Danio rerio: one gene and its partners. The protein of the gene in region 4 interacts with the protein of the main gene of each other region in a biochemical or structural test. Links are inferred from orthologs where the notes say so. Each region holds a gene or a part of one and is shown on either strand. Other genes may lie near its edges. The genes, in order: smarca4a, lbr, chaf1a and cbx5.

Region 1 (4,127 bases), on a different chromosome or scaffold from region 4:
GGCAAATTAAAAGTCCTATTAGCATGCTTTGGAATATACCGTATATACAGTAATTTTCAAGGAACAAACCATATATGATTCATAAAGCAATGTCAAATATGCATTTTACAAATGGAAAGTGGCATATTTTATTGTGTTTTGATATTATTGGGCTAATTTTGACTGGCAATTAAGCTAGTTTTGTTGCAAAAACCTGGCAATCCTGAGACTGACCATTTTGAGTGCAACTTTTTAAAGCAGCAGATGACAAAACTGCAGTGTGCACTTCTAAAAAGCTGAAAATTAACATTACAAAGGTGCCTTATGATGAAAATCTGGGTATACCAAGGCATAGTAAAATAATAAACGATCAATATATGGATATGGGCATACTGTGTGCCTCAGACACCAGTTTCATCGTATTAATGTCAATTCCACAAGTGTAAAACCCAGGTAAACAATGGGCCAATCAGAAGACAAAACAAACTGTGACGAGACTCATGAGCTATGTCTTCTGTATTTGCATGCATCCTTACTTTAGGTCATTCATCCTGACCTGATGAGCAACTGACATAATCAAGAGAACACAACTCACCTGCAGCTCTGAGAGCAAACAAAAGCCCTGAAATTATTAATATGCACACCTCAGGCTGTGTTTGATAAGCCAAACGTTTTCTAGTGATACCAGTGATCATTTTCCTCCCTTAGTTATTTTAAGTGTGTATTTCACTTCCTATGCATGTTGGACTTTTATTGTAAAAACACAAGCGCCAAACAGCATAAGACATGTTTAAAACTCGCCTCAGGATGCAAAATCCAAGATTTACAGATTATACACTTATTCCTCTCCACTCTGAAGAGGCATATGGTATGCTTGGTTACATCTTTTGTTAATTTATCATGTTTATTGTGAAATGTGAAGCATATGTGTATTAACAAACACATGTAGACTCTTGAATCTTGTCAAATCACTCACCTCAACTGTCATCCGTTCATACAGAAGCTGATATTGAATCGTGGCTGTTTTCTCTTTGAATGTAGCTCAAAATACAATGCAATACATCTCTCTTTTCACTCTCTTTTGTCAAGTTTAATCATAATTTAGTTTTTACCCACAACAGATCTGGTGAGCATAATAGGTTAAGGTTACTCTGATTGGGTTATATTTGTCTGTGTTCAGCTTGCATCATGCTCTGTGTGTATGAGTGTCTGAAATCGCAGCAGGTCAAAGTTGAGTAGAGCAGATATTCTAGGGGTATTTAAGATAATAAATTAGCTTATAAAAGCGTTTCTGAAGATTTCTTTTGTTTACTTTCTGAAGCCATAAACCTACTAAGTAGATATCAGAGAACATTTTAACTTATTAAACCAATACAGTATATGGCCCCTTTAACACATTATCCTTATAGTTACTGTTATTGTTGTGAAAACCATTTTACCTTCTCTCCAGTCATGGCGAAGGGCGCGTTGAACCACTGCTCAAAGGTGCTGCAGCTCTTGAAGATGGTGGGCAGCAGGAAGTTGAGCAGCGCCCACAGCTCGGGCAGCTTGTTTTGCAGTGGAGTGCCAGTTAGCAGCACACGCCGGGGTGCCAGGTAGTGCGTATTTAATACCTGAGTCAGTTTACAGTGGTGATTTTTCATGCGGTGACCTTCATCCACGATCATGTACTTCCAACGGAGCTGGAAGAGAAGGCATCATCAGACACTGAATAAACACTGGTCTGAGAATGATTAATGATTAAAGGTCAGGTTAATACCTTGGCCAGCACTTGCTTATCTTTGATGATGTATTCATAAGTAGTGACCAGTACGTTGAATTTGCCACTGCGCAAAATGGGAAGGAACGCACGGCGAGCAGCAGGAGAGCCCTAAGATGAAAATAAGCAAAAAAAAAAAATGTGTTAAATATCCTACAGGGTTCTTCGGTTGTGGTTTATTTTGTATTACAGCATTTGATTTAAATCACCTTGTAAGAAACTTTCACCACAGATGGAGCCCACTTATCAAACTCGTACACCCAGTTCGACAGAGTCCTATAAGACAACAGAAAAATCACTAATCATTCATGCATCTTGGCAATGCCCATGGGTTGATTATTTTTGAAGAGAGGTGCATGATTATCTGCTAAAAATAAAGATATCCCAGGCCCAGTGTGACCCAATACAAGTTTATTTTATATTTGGTGAGCACTGCCTCTCAAGTACTAATATTACCCCAAATCATAGTGGGTAAAGAGCTGTATCATGTGGATAACTGGAACATTTTGTTATCGTTTTGCTGCATCTCAGCTCACAGTAAATAAATAAATATCACTATTGATGATGGAAAAGTGTATAATGAATATTTCTACACAGCATATTTTATTGTCCAGAAAAAAATGCTTGAGATTAAAATGCAAAGTGTACATAATATACCATAAAGAAAATATATATACAGGGTGTGCTAATATAGTATATGACATACCATAAGTTATAATAAATTTCCTATTTAAATAGAATACTTTATTAACTATAATAACAATTTTAAATGAATGACACTAAAATCATAACATCAAATCTACAATACATGCCAAAAAAATCCTTACTACACCCAAAACTGTTCAATTCTAGAAAGCCTAATTCCCATAAAAATGTATTTGGATTTATTTAACTGTTTTTTGCCATCGAGATCAGAGATTCCCAAATATTTTCTTATAAAGGGCCAAAAAACAAACAATTTAGATCTGAGGGCCGATAGTAAATTTATAAGACTAATTTCCCAATTTCTTTGAAATAATATTTATAAATAAATAGACTTTAACGTATTGGGCTAGCTAATACACCCTAATTTTTTTACATTTTATAATGAACGTATTACAATGAAAACAAACTAACATAAATTCTATTTATAACACAATTGAGTTCAATGCACATTTAAATAAATCTCATCCATTCCCAATATTTAATTCAAGCTTTCTTTTTTGTAGCTTAACAATAAAATAAACAAATAAAAGATTGTGTTAAATTAGAAATGACAATCTCTATTAAAGGCATACCCCTGCCCCTCCCCCATTTTTCCTCTCTTTTCAGATGGGATAGTGGGCCAAACCATGGGTTATCATAGGCCAACTTTGGACATCTCTGATCTAGACGCACTCACAAATCACCCCGATAATTTACAGAATATTCATATTTTTACATTTTTTCGTTCATCCATAAACCTAAATATTGTCAAATTCTTCCTCTGGTATCATGCAACTCCAGTGACTTACGAGAGGGGGACGATGATAAGGAAGGGTCCGTTGAGGCGTTTGAACTCCATGAGGTAGGTGATGAGTGCGATGGTCTGGATAGTTTTGCCCAAACCCATTTCATCAGCCAGAATGCCATTTAGGTTATTGTTATACAGAGACACCAGCCACTCCAGACCTTTAATCTGTGGACGGAACGAAAGCAATAAGCACAAGCCACCAGATTAACAAGAATCTCTCTGTGTATTTTTCGTTTTTATATCCATATCTTAGTATTTTCTGGGATCTTTTGTGGTAACTGAGATCGGTGATGATAATTAATAACTGAAAAAGTTACGTATCTTCAGAGAAAAGCATTACGTCGAAAAAAAGGTCACACTGAATGGTAGAGGGGGTTGCATACAATGCATATAAACGTGTTCACAGAATAGGATTTGCAAAGACACTGAGACCAAAAGATCTGTTCCAACTCTCTGTGATCAGCTGCACCTCAGGAATTAGTTTAAAACATTTTTAAAACAGAGCATGTTTGTAATAAAGTAAAAACTGTAGAGTAATATATCTTTTTCTACCTGATATTGTTTGAGCTGCCCGTTCACTAGCAGACTCGATTGCTTTTCCACCTTCTCTGTGACGGCGTGGGCCACAGCATAATATGACTGCAGGCCCCGAATGAATGCAGAGTTCCCGTATTCATCGTCTACATCTTGCTTGGCATGTCTGTAAGACACATCATGGATTTCATTCACTTATAACTACAATTATGACAACAGAATGATTAAATGAGCAAGAGCTCATGTAGCCAGGCTAAATCCAATGACTCACTCAATAATGTGACGAGCATCAACCTCAGAAACATCCTCGCTGTCTGGATCAGGAATCACCTTCTTCTCCTCTGTCGGGGCCTGAGAGGGCTG
Region 2 (4,784 bases), on a different chromosome or scaffold from region 4:
AAGACGAAGTTTTAAATTGTAAAGAAATTTGTGTTTTTGAAACTAATGTAGACAGCAGAAGTCAATGATTTATTTGAATTATTTAGTCTGACATGTTCCTCAATATAAAATATATTGTGTTCAAAGGGGAAAAAGTTTTTGTTTTTTACCCGGATATTTTAAAAAAAATGTCATTTAGAGTAGTAATCACAATACAGGGTTCAACACTAAGGATTTTTTCTACTGGTCCAATCGGGCCAATGGTTCAGATTTTTACTTGCCCTGCCCAAATTTTCACTGGCCCCATTAAAAAAAAATAAATAAAAAAGACAAGTTAATGCTTATTTTTTAGCCACATATTTTAAATAATGTGTCAAAAATAACTTCTGTGAATCTAGAATTTCAATATTTGAAAAATGTTAATAAATGTATGAGCACAATTCAGAGCTATGCAAACGAAAATTGCATTATGGGAAATGTGGAGGTATTTTATTGCAGTTTGAAATTATTTAACAAAAGGTGGCTGACTGGCAAATTGTGCAAAAAAATAAATTAATTAAATAAAAAATAAAAATAATCACCATTTTTTTCGTTGTGTTTTCATGTAAATGTCTGCTTCCAAGACGTTATAAAAGTTTTTAATTTAGCCTTTTAATTTGATATTGCTGCCATGTTGCCGTCTCTTCGCTGTACTGGTTGTTACCAGGATACGGAAAAAAATAGCGTGCTTCAAAACAGATAGGAGGATCCGAAAAGCAATCGACATCAGAGAAGATAGCATTTTAAGACCAAAAAGCTCAAGCTTAAAATGCACACAATTGACTAATAGTCGCAGGCAAGTTAAACTTTAGTGACAAGGCAGCACTTTCCCAATCGGGCCAGTAATAATCCTGTCTACTGTCCAAAGCATCTTTCACACTGGCCCCGGGCCATAGGGCAGTCCTTATTGTTGAGCCCTGCAATACCGTCAAACCATAATATTTTTATCCAAGGTTATCATACCATCTACGGCAGGGTGATTAATTGAAAAGTAATCAAAATCATTCAGAACCTTTAATCGATCAACATTTTCCAGGTCAATTTTTTTTTCAACTACTTCCCTTACCGCATGTGGAGTCACGTGACCCCGCTCTGTTTACACTTCTGTGTCAAGTGCAGTGAATGATCTGGAGCAGGCTTCACACAGGCACATACCACAGGCACAGAGAGGGCAAAAAATTAAATAAATAAAAGAACCATTCATTATTCGTAATTGAGTTAAAATGCTCAATTAATCAGAATTTTGATTTTAGGCCAAATCGCCCAGCCCTAATACCATCAGAATCATATACCGGCCCATGCCTAATCGGTTACCAATATATGAATTAGTTAACATTAGCAACAATAACTAAGATGAATAAATGCTTAGAAGCTTTACATGACTACATTAACGTAACTTATTTTAACAAATGAAACCTTACTGCAAAGATTTAACAAAAATAAAAACTACAACCATTCAGACTAGGGCTGTACGATTAATAATATTTTTTATCACAATAACGATATTTGTGACAATCAGTAAATAAATATTGTCATGTTTGTTTGTTTGTTTTCTATATTTGTGGCTGTGAAATTCAATAATACACAAGTGAATAAATGTTAATCAAAACAATAATTGCCATTATTAATCGTGATTAATGTTTTTTCTGTGCAGCCCTAATTCAGACTAGGCATGGGCCAGTATAAGTTTCGGACGGTATGATAACCCTGGATAAAAATATCACTGTTTCACGATATTGTGATTACTGGTCTAAAATGTGCTTTTTTTAAAATGTCAGGTTAAAAAAACTACTTTTTACCTTATTGAACACAATATATTTTATTTTAAGAAACATTTATAATATTCTAAAACAGTAAACATGTCACGGTAAATAATTCATAATTAAATCATTGACTTCTGATGTCTTCATTGATTTCAAAAACACAGATTTCTTTATCACAAACACACACACAAAAATACCTTACACATACCTTAGGAATGGTATAACAGAATTTTTGCGGTTTTAAAACCTTGTCTTTCCCAAACTGCGGTAAACCTCGAAACCGGTAATCGTCCCATGGCTAATTCAGACTGCAAAATTATGCAGAATATAATAATAGAAAATAAACCCACCAAAAATAATTTTAAAAATCTATTATTATTATTCCAGTATAATAAAAGCTTAAAATGTAACTGAAATAATTTTCTGAATATCCCTTATGACATATTTCAACAAAACATCTGTAATGTAAAATGAAAAATAAAAGGCTAAACAATCTCTAAATATAAAAAAACACCAGTCTACCATTAAAAGACAGCAATTCATCATAACACACATGTGAACATTCTAAAATTCAGATATTAAAAATTCACAGAGCAAAAACCAAACACCAATACATGAAACAGTTTCCTTACCACTAACTAGGGCTGGGCGATATGGCAAAAATGCAACCTCGATTAATTATTTTCCATATTGAACAATAACAATATATTTAGTTGTTAATGCTAACAGGTTCAAGAGTATCCCAACAATGACTGAAGCCGCAAAAATGAAAGCGTCAATTAAATAGCATAACCAATTTTTAGCAGAGGAAATTATATCAACACACTTCTAGATTTCCATTGCTGTACATTCCTGCTGTGTGATTGGCTCTTAGATCAATATAGAGTAAAAAAGCCCAAGGCTAATCATAGTTATCAACACATAAATTATCGCAATTTGATATAATATCGTTTATCGGCCCAGCCCTACCACCAACACATTAAATTTGTCAAAATGAAGCCAGAATCATAATTACAACTGCTCACACATCTAGAAGATACCCTTTTAGCAGACACACCATACAGGAAACACCCCGAACTTCATATTAAAGCCATATGGAGAGAAAGGCCATAAAAACATAAGCCTTCAACCCTAAAACCATCTAATCCAATGAAGCACATTCCAGACATTCCTGATCCAGAGCTCACTGACACACACCCAGCACTGAGTTGAAGTCCTGCAGAAATCCAGATATCCCATGTGCTTCAGGGAGTTTAGGTGAAACCACAGAGCAAAAGATTTAAACTGAGAATGTGAGTGGGCGGAGTCTGCCTGGTTTTGTTATGCAAATATGTGGGCACACGACGACACGCGCGCGCTTACTATCACTGCCAGCAGCTATTCAAAACTACTACTACAACTCAACTACTACTACTACTACTACTTAAATCTTTTAAAGCAATAGTATTTCAGACAACAATGGTCACGGTTTTCATTTTTAATCTTACTTCAAAAAACACTACAACAGAACACCACATCTTATATATTTGAAGATTGGATATAAATCCTACATATTTCATAAAAAGTCAATATGGAAATTTAAGCTGTTTGTGTTAAGCTTTTGTGTAGTTTAAATGTGATCTAGAGGCTCTAGTGTGGATTGCCATGCTGCTCCTTTAACACAGCAGAAGAATGACACCGGAATGGAGGGAAAACGTCATGTATTCAAAACCATTGTCAGTCTGCATGTGAGAGAGACTCGTAAACAGCAACATTAAACGAGAATCAATGAACTATGGGAACAAAAACAGTTATTACAATGAACGTATAGTGTATTTAACACATATTTACTGTCAAAGCAGAGTAAAATGATCTTTATGTGCGATTATTTTACACAAGAGTGGAGAGAGTCACGTGCACTTTCGTGCACAAACAACGTAATGAAACTGAAAGGTTCGATATAAATTATGAATTCAAAACTAGTTGATAAAACAGTATAAAGTTGTATTAGTGTGGTAAAACAGACGAGCTGTGATGGAGGAGCAGTAAATGCGCGCCGTGCCCAAGTTTCCTGTGCAACGACTCGGCTGGAAACCGGAGTTTCAATTCAAGTCAAATACCAAAACAACAAATAACAGCTTTGAGAATTACACATAATAGAAAACATAATGTTTTCTAAACTGTATCTTTCATATAGAGATATGCAGAAAGACAAGCAACATGTTATGTGTACTTCAGAAAGAGAGTTGGGTCGGACTGAGCGCTGAATGTATTTCTGTACCGTTAACTACGCAATCCCTATAAATACATTCCCAGACAAAAACTTTAAGCACGCAAAGTCAATTTATAAAACTTTCTTACCTTCAGTCGACCTTATTTTCCTAAAAATCACTAAAGCTTATCCGTGGAAGTTCATAAAATAAAGAATATTGTTTTAAAACGCTGGCCCCCGCTCTGAACTCGTTCCTCCCTCTGTGACTGCTCAACCTACCAGCGTTTTGAGGGCGGGAAGCGCTGTGATTGGGTGGGGCGACCTGTTTTTAAATTTCTGAATTTTCTGATTGGTCGAAGGAGGGCTTTGCGTGAGCGTTGATTGGAGGCGAGGCATTTGAGCTTGAAGAGAATCGAGGTTTACAAAATGGAGTCCTCTTCAGGCGAGACAGTTGATCGGTGAGATATGAGAAGAAGAGAGAGGGACAGGACAGACAGACGACGTCACACTTATAAATGCCATAAGTTTTTAAGTCAAATATAGTTGGTAATTAATGGGTAAAGGCACGAGAAGGGTCAGTGAAACGCTCAAATAACCGAAATTTAAGTTAATAGCTTGTTTTTCATACTTATACCAAAGAGCTTTAAATGACTTGAGAGATTCTATGCTCTTTGTTATACTGTGGAGGGCAATGGTTGTTAATACAAAATGACCAAAACAGGTCGACAAAATCTTCCGCTACATATTTTTAATATATATTTGTATTTATTATTGTATCTTTTACAGGTTACAGCCGTTCCGAAACATGCTTT
Region 3 (4,127 bases), on a different chromosome or scaffold from region 4:
GTTTTAATTTTAAGTAATTTGTTTTGCCATTAAAGGGAGTTTGCTGTTATTGTACAGGCCAACTAAGATGGGATCCAAAATTTTTGCTAAAAAAGTTATGCATGGCAATTTAAAAAATGCAAAAAAATTGCCATGTTTTTTTACCTTGTCCAGCCTCAACGGGCAGCGTGGCGAGATGTGGGTGCTTTTTTTGCTCCAGGTTCCCCAATAAGCTGGCCGATAGTTGTCATGGAAATGCAGGAGCTTCATGCGGCCGTAACGACTGCGGTCTGGTCCATCATCTGCCTTCTGGCTCTCAGTTATGACCACACAGTCTCTAATAACACAGAACATACACCAAATAAAATGTCTTTTGACATCCCTCTAACAAATGCAGCTGACAGTGTTCTGCACGAGTATATATTGAATACAAACAAATCCAAGCAACAGGCTCAGTGTGGCTTTACCCTTGTGCACTATGCCTGGGTCTGGTGGGACCTGAACTGCGAGGTTTGTGCCCTGTCCAGTCCTTCAGTCCATTCAGAGTACTGTCGGGTTGGGCAAGATAGCGGTCCAGGTCCTCTAGCACAGAGTCTTCACATTGTACTCGAGTTAGCGGTGCCAGAGACATGTGTGCTTTGATCTCAAACGGAGCAAACTTCCCGCAGGCAGAAGCCAGAGTCTGAAACACAAGAACATACAAAAATGCCTACATTAACACATTACTTGACAAAATGGCCAAAAAGAACAAATACTATGAATGTTAATGATTGATTATTTCAAACATTTTTAACAGAACAAAAAAAACTGGTTTAAAACAAGTCAAAGTTGAGTGAAGGACAATTTTTAGATTTGAGTGAACTACCTTTTAAAGACGCATCTTAATCAATTTGATCACTGATTACAGGGTTTAATTGAAGCTTTTTATTATTCATGTTTTTATAAATGTATATTACAAATATCATATGACAACTGCATTTATTGATGAGCAACATTCCAACCTAAAACATAGCAGCCTGTACTTGGTTAGCTAATAAGAACAGTGTAGGGCAGATATAGACTCAAACTAGGGCCTAAAGGGCCAAAGTTGGCCCATGATAATCTTTAATTTTGCCATCCACTAAGAAAAGAGGCAGAATGTTGGGGGTAATGCTTTTAAAACACATTGTCATTTCTAATTTTAACACCAAAAGACGTGACACCTCAATTTATTGTAATTTGAGCGTTGCGTTACAATTTGAATATGTTTGGGTTTTTATGCTGCTATAAGGAACATCTGCCATTTACACAATATAAATTGTAAAGACGCGATACTGCATCATTAAAATGCTATACGAGTGTAGTCTACACCATAGCCCTCTATGGCTCTGGCCCACGTGCACTAGGGCTGGGCGATATGGACAAAATATCATATCTCTGTATTTTTAGGACGAACGATGGCATACGATATATATCCGGTATTTTCCCATAAATGGTCACTTTAGAGTCAAAGCCTTTATTAAAACTTTATTAAACATTTTTGAGCAAAATATATTTGTTTACAAATAAACAGCTGCACAAAAAAATAACAGCTGCACAAAATCTTCGATAAAAACATAGTACGGGTTTTTCTCCTGCTTAAAACTACAAGTTGCACAACATTTCAAATTATAAAAAAATGATTGATAAATAAATCAAGTACAGTTTTTTTTGCCTGCTTAACACTATACACAGCTCTACTGTGCTGTTGTGCAAACAACAAAGTAAACAGAACCATAGAAAACAGCTACATTGTCAGAGCAAAAAATTTACACTTAAATAGTAACACTACAAAACGTATTGTAGGATAGAAAAGAACCACATAGAATGTAAATATGAAACACAGTATTTTATGTCACAATTACAGTGTTTTTATAAGTAATCCTGTATAGCAGTTTTGTGATTTACAAACAACAATTCAGCTGTATGTTTTTGCACAATTATTAAAAAGTGCACATATCGAAGACGTCTAAAAACAAGTCTTTCACTCCATGTAAAAAAACACAGTTTTTTTGTTTTTGACTAAACTATTTTTACTAAATATTAAAGGAGATGAAAACGAATAGACTGTAGATATGAAAAGTAACGAAATAGTTTCAGAGTACTGTGATTAAATGCTGGTTAAGCATATAAGAGCTAAATGTGTTTTAATGTAAATGTAAAGAAGAGAATGTAATAAATACTGAACTTATAATCAGTGAATATGAGGTGGTTTCACTTTCAAAATGCGGTATAAATTTGTCCCATTTAGGTATTTTTAATTCTTTTGAACACATTCAGGTGCTGCTTGTCAATTTGACAAGGTGTCTACGTTCGTTCTTGTATGAATATTCTACGTTCAAATATTGTATGACTCTTGGAGTGAATTATTCATTTGCGTATGCGCTTATTTGTGCAAGTGGAGCTTGCGTGCTACCTTGGAGTGGTTTATTTTGCACAGAATGCACACATGTGGCTTTAAACCATATCGACATGAAAGATACTAGATAATACCGTACGGCGTTGGGGAATCATATTGATACATCCCCAGAACCCGATATACCACCCGGCCCTAACATGCACTTAACCACAAATGCGGAAAGAGCAGAAGTTTGTGAGGGATTTGAACTTGCTGAAAAAAGCGGCGCTCATCATGTTTTCAACACAGTTTTGGATGAGATGGGTGAATAGCCCTAAAGGCATGGTGCAAGTAATAAATTATTATTTAAAAATACCCTATCTTCATGGTGACGCGGCGCCGCCTGTTGAGTACGCCTAATTATGGACGATATGAGGCTATGGCAGCTGTTGTGGAGCCCTTCAAATGGGACAGGTAAAGAAATCATATTTTCCACTAATATCCACATATTCAGTTGCATAAGTAGAGGGTTTGCATAACCCTCTGTTGCATAGGCACACACAATTCACACACTCTGTTCTTGCACCATGTAAAGAAAATGTGTCTCGAGTTTCTGATCATCTGATCGGCCTTTGTAGATATTGCAAATCAATCCCCCCACCAAGCGATTATCGGCCAATAGTGATCGGTGACTGACTACTCGATCTGAGCATGGTCCTTAACACTTCCGGAGGTTGTTAAAATTGTTTTTGATTAAATTTTATTTACAGTTTATGTGCTTATGGGGGTGTAAATGCTTATGTGATTCTTACCTTTGGTGCCAACTGGGTCTTGGGCTTTTGCAGAAACCGTGTAATCTCAGCCTTCTCAGCTTTAATTCGCTAAAACAGATGCAAAAATGCTATGAGGGCCTGCACAGCTTGCCAAAGTCACATCCAAGACTCTCAGCAATGAAACACTCACATCTTTCTCTTCCTTTAACCGTTTTTCCTCTTCCTTCTTCCTTTTCTCTTCTAGTTTGGCCCTAAATAAAGTTTAAAACAGAGTTAAATTCTCAAATTAGGGTAAACCCCATCGCAGTTTCCATTGTGGTGAAACACTGGGTCACTTACTCAATTTTCATCTGCCGTTGCTCTTCTTTAGCTTTTAATTTATCTGCTTTTTCTTTTTCGTCCCTCTCCTTTTTTTCCCGCCGCTCCTTTTCATCTTTCTCCTTTTTCTCTTTTTTCTCCCTCTCCTTCTCCTCCTTCATCTTGCGGGCCTCCTCTTTCTTCTTCTCCTTGGCAGCTTTGGCCTCCTGTTTCAGCCGTTCTTTCTCATCCCTCTGTCGCTGCTTCTCCTCCTGCTCTTGAACACTCTGAGGGACAAAAAGACAAAGGGCTATTCAGCTGAAGCACAAAATTCCACAGCGACAACAATCAATTCACCTTTAACTCTTTAACAATTGGATCAAATTTGAGGGACGGGGAAAAAATGCATTAACCTCTAAAGGCCAAACTTCAGCCATTCACAGCAACTTTACTGGTTTTGTGATTAAACTCAAAGCTTCACAGTCATTGTAGACAGACTGTGCAAACATTTCTCATTCATTCAATGTAGGTCAATCTTCTGGCATTACTGTTTTCAACAAATTATAACCACATCTAAAGAAATAGTTACATTTACTCAGCCTTCACAAACCAGTTTGAGTTTCTTTTTTCTGTTGAACAAAATAAATAACCTTAAAAAATTACTTCCACAGTATTTGCTGTTTCTGCTATGGAAGTCAATGTTCACAGGTGTTCAACAAAAA
Region 4 (3,139 bases):
TATAAATGTTCTGGCACAAAACTGAATAAATACTACTGAAAGTGACGTCCTAATATGGCATAATTGAGAAAATATGCACAAATGAGAACCTAAATATAAGCAAACTGACTTTGCATGCGGATGCAAATGTTTTAAAATACAAATGTGTCCAACAGTATAGATTTTGATCTGCTGGATTTGGTCAAAAATCACTGTGCAACTCTTACAGCCACACACTTTTTTTTTTTCGTCCAGCTGAGACAAACAGACAAGAGTTGCTCTATTATGACATCTGCTGGTTCACATCAGCACTGTTGTTTTTTTTATAGCGCAAAATGTGCAGATTCAGCCAACTGCTATCTGATCAATCGTTATAAGCTGTTAAAAACTGGTTTTCCCCACAAACATTGCACAAAGTAAAACTTGCATAATCTCAGCACTACAATGAAATGTATTGTGCGTGACTTGAGTCCAAAACCCAGGGTTTGGAGTTTCCAAAAACTGAAGTGTTGGAAACTAGATTTACTACAGCTTGTTACAGTACATTAAAAACGACTGTGAACTTAAAATAGCAAATAGACATAATTGTTGCACATTTTAAAAACTTCTATCAGCTAGAAATGAGTCACATGTATAAATGATCATGGCAGGATTATAAAAGCATACAAAAAAATAATAGAAATGTACCTACAACATCATGTTTAACCCTGTATAAATGTTTAGAAACATCCCCCCGATACACACTATTCCATCTCCAGCTAAACCATTCTCACTCTTTTACAGCTGTCGATATCAGTAGCTTTTGTTCAGTGTCTTTGCGAAGAAGCGCACAAAACTCTAGTGTAGTCATGTGACCTTGATAAACACCATTTTATTGAATCAACTCTAGGTTAAAAAAGTAATATAAGAACCCGACAATGCTTGAACTACGTGTGAATGAGGTCAAACAGGGAATGTGTTCAGCAAATCAGCCACAAGAGGGAGTATAATCGCTTCCGTTTTATGGAGGGAAAATAAAATCATGGAAGAAAAGTGTGTAGAAATAGATAGAAATGTCCCTTTACACACTCACATGATGACGATTGTCTGTCCTCCTGCAAGCAACAGTGATAAGATCGAATAGCGGATAAAAAGGGCCAAGGTTGACATTTTAAAAGATATTTTTACACAGATGTTAAAATTTATCCAAATGTCCTGATTTTAGTCTGGGTAATAAGATATAGATCATTTAGGTAGATGTACTGATAAAAAACAAACAAGCCCAATAAAAATCGTATGATAATTTGGCCCACAAAGGACTTTTTTTAAAGTTAAAATTGCAATAAAGCAAACTTAAATCTACTTGATTGGGGGGAAAAAAATAAGCAAAATGCGAACGGCATCAATTAAGAAGCAGTTTTGTAAATAAAAAACGATGGCGTCGCTTTTTCATCCAGCATTGCAGATGTTAACGAACGCAAACTCGACTGATTTCATTCAGTCATGTTCCGCAATACTGTGAAATCTGAACGAATAAAAGTTAAAAGTTGGACATGTACGGGTTTTTTTTCATCGTTTCACATCTACACTAGCACACAACACATCATAAGAACATAGTTGTAGGGGCACGAATACACAAATCATGACAAAACAGAAGGAAGATCAGAGAGAGTAAGAGAAGTAAGAGTTTTCCACATTCCACCGCTCTGCCGCAGCCACCGTTCGCTCTGTCTGATGAGAGATGTGTTTTGGTGAAGGTGGACGGAGGTTGTTGTGGTGGGCAGTAAACCTCCGATACTCGCTGGCCTTTCGTTTTCTAAATGGTCCGTTAAAAGTTGGCTATGAGAGTGTCATCGGTGCAAGGTTTTGGAGGACTGTATGTCTTTCCCAAACCTCTGCCCTTTACACCGCTGTGGCACTCTTCTCCTTCTTGTCTCCGTCTTCATGCCAGGTCAGACGCTCCTCGTAGAAGGCAATGACAATCTGTGGGCACTTGTGATTGGCTTCTTTTGCAAGCACAAGGTCTGCCTCGTCAGAGTCCTTCCTGTAGCAGGACAGCAGAAACAACGAAAAGTTAATTTCGCAGCAAGTGCAGTGTTTCCTCTAGGATTTTTTTTCAGCTGTGGCAGCAGACCTTTTAGACAAATAGAAATACCTATGGCGTGGTTTCAATGACAAATGGACAATGTTGTGAGCGAAGTATTACAGGTCAAGATCGTATTTACGTGCTCTACTCTCCAATACGCGCTGATTTCCTCTGCTTGTGCACAAAACCTCTTGCACGCCCCCTTAAATATACGCGGCTCAAGCGCAAATCTTTTGCGCTCTCAAATAAACGCAGCTTAAGTGCGATTTACGCCGTTTATGCAACAAGTATGTGGGGCCCAATTTACAGATGTAAATTAGAAATTTCTGAATATGTGATAGTGAACACTGAAATATGCAGAAAATGGAAGTTTCATTGATTGTAAAAATGTAAGCTGACTTATTTTACTGTAACATTTGACGCATGGTTAGAGACTATTAGAATAATAAATGGTTTATAATGCCAAGCATGCTTTACAATGCAAAAGGTAACAGAGGCAAAAAACGGATCTATACAGAAAATCCAGCATAAATTGTTTGCTAAGCTAAATACAACCTTAAAGTTGGTTTACTAATCAAGAAATGCAATTACTTAAAAACAGATGTAAACTGTAAATAAGGTAAACAAATAAATGCAGAGTGTACACTCCATTGAACGCTTTCAAACATACAACTGTAAATAGTTGGAGAAAGGAGAGAAATGAACAGTTCCATCCTCATCCTCCATCCTATTCAGTCACACAAAGGGTGTGAATGTGCTTTTTAAAAAGGGACATTAGAATAATTTCCAGACATAATGGCAGGTGTAAATGTGGCGATTAACACTATGGTTTCAACCTCCACTTCAGGTGATTCAATCAAAATTGTCCAGCTAAACACAGCCTGCCTTATTTTTATCATTAGCATGTATCTTGAGGTCCCCATGTGCTTGGATCCAAATAAAATCGGAGTACTTAATTTTTAGTCTAAAAGCTGTTTTGAAAAAAAAGAGGCCTTGATTTTAGATTTTAAAGAGACGGCTCATCTAAAAATGAATATCCCAGCATCATTTTACTCAACCTCCACTTTGTCAAAACCTGTTCGAGTTGTTTATTCT

What was found.
Region 1: the proteins of cbx5 (region 4) and smarca4a form a complex in vitro, tested with the Homo sapiens proteins (2 studies listed by BioGRID). The link is inferred for Danio rerio from reciprocal best matches to the Homo sapiens genes CBX5 and SMARCA4.
Region 2: the proteins of cbx5 (region 4) and lbr form a complex in vitro, tested with the Homo sapiens proteins (2 studies listed by BioGRID, with this or other methods). The link is inferred for Danio rerio from reciprocal best matches to the Homo sapiens genes CBX5 and LBR.
Region 3: the proteins of cbx5 (region 4) and chaf1a form a complex in vitro, tested with the Homo sapiens proteins (2 studies listed by BioGRID). The link is inferred for Danio rerio from reciprocal best matches to the Homo sapiens genes CBX5 and CHAF1A.

What each region holds. Positions count from the first base shown.
Region 1 is NC_133178.1:18,046,734-18,050,860, reverse strand, and holds part of smarca4a (SWI/SNF related BAF chromatin remodeling complex subunit ATPase 4a), read right to left. Parts: coding exon 4,036-4,127; intron 3,931-4,035; coding exon 3,783-3,930; intron 3,396-3,782; coding exon 3,232-3,395; intron 2,015-3,231; coding exon 1,948-2,014; intron 1,850-1,947; coding exon 1,739-1,849; intron 1,662-1,738; coding exon 1,419-1,661; exon of another isoform or gene 1,292-1,418; intron 1,189-1,291; exon of another isoform or gene 1-1,188. UniProt on the Homo sapiens protein: ATPase involved in transcriptional activation and repression of select genes by chromatin remodeling (alteration of DNA-nucleosome topology).
Region 2 is NC_133195.1:39,684,270-39,689,053, forward strand, and holds the start of lbr (delta(14)-sterol reductase LBR), read right to left. Parts: upstream 3,037-4,784; 5' UTR 2,979-3,036; intron 1-2,978. UniProt on the Homo sapiens protein: Catalyzes the reduction of the C14-unsaturated bond of lanosterol, as part of the metabolic pathway leading to cholesterol biosynthesis.
Region 3 is NC_133197.1:22,139,635-22,143,761, forward strand, and holds part of chaf1a (chromatin assembly factor 1 subunit A), read right to left. Parts: intron 3,693-4,127; coding exon 3,448-3,692; intron 3,360-3,447; coding exon 3,299-3,359; intron 3,217-3,298; coding exon 3,148-3,216; intron 662-3,147; coding exon 447-661; intron 317-446; coding exon 145-316; intron 1-144. UniProt on the Homo sapiens protein: Acts as a component of the histone chaperone complex chromatin assembly factor 1 (CAF-1), which assembles histone octamers onto DNA during replication and repair.
Region 4 is NC_133198.1:39,403,290-39,406,428, forward strand, and holds the end of cbx5 (chromobox protein homolog 5), read right to left. Parts: intron 2,003-3,139; coding exon 1,861-2,002; 3' UTR 833-1,860; downstream 1-832. UniProt on the Homo sapiens protein: Component of heterochromatin that recognizes and binds histone H3 tails methylated at 'Lys-9' (H3K9me), leading to epigenetic repression. In contrast, it is excluded from chromatin when 'Tyr-41' of histone H3 is phosphorylated (H3Y41ph).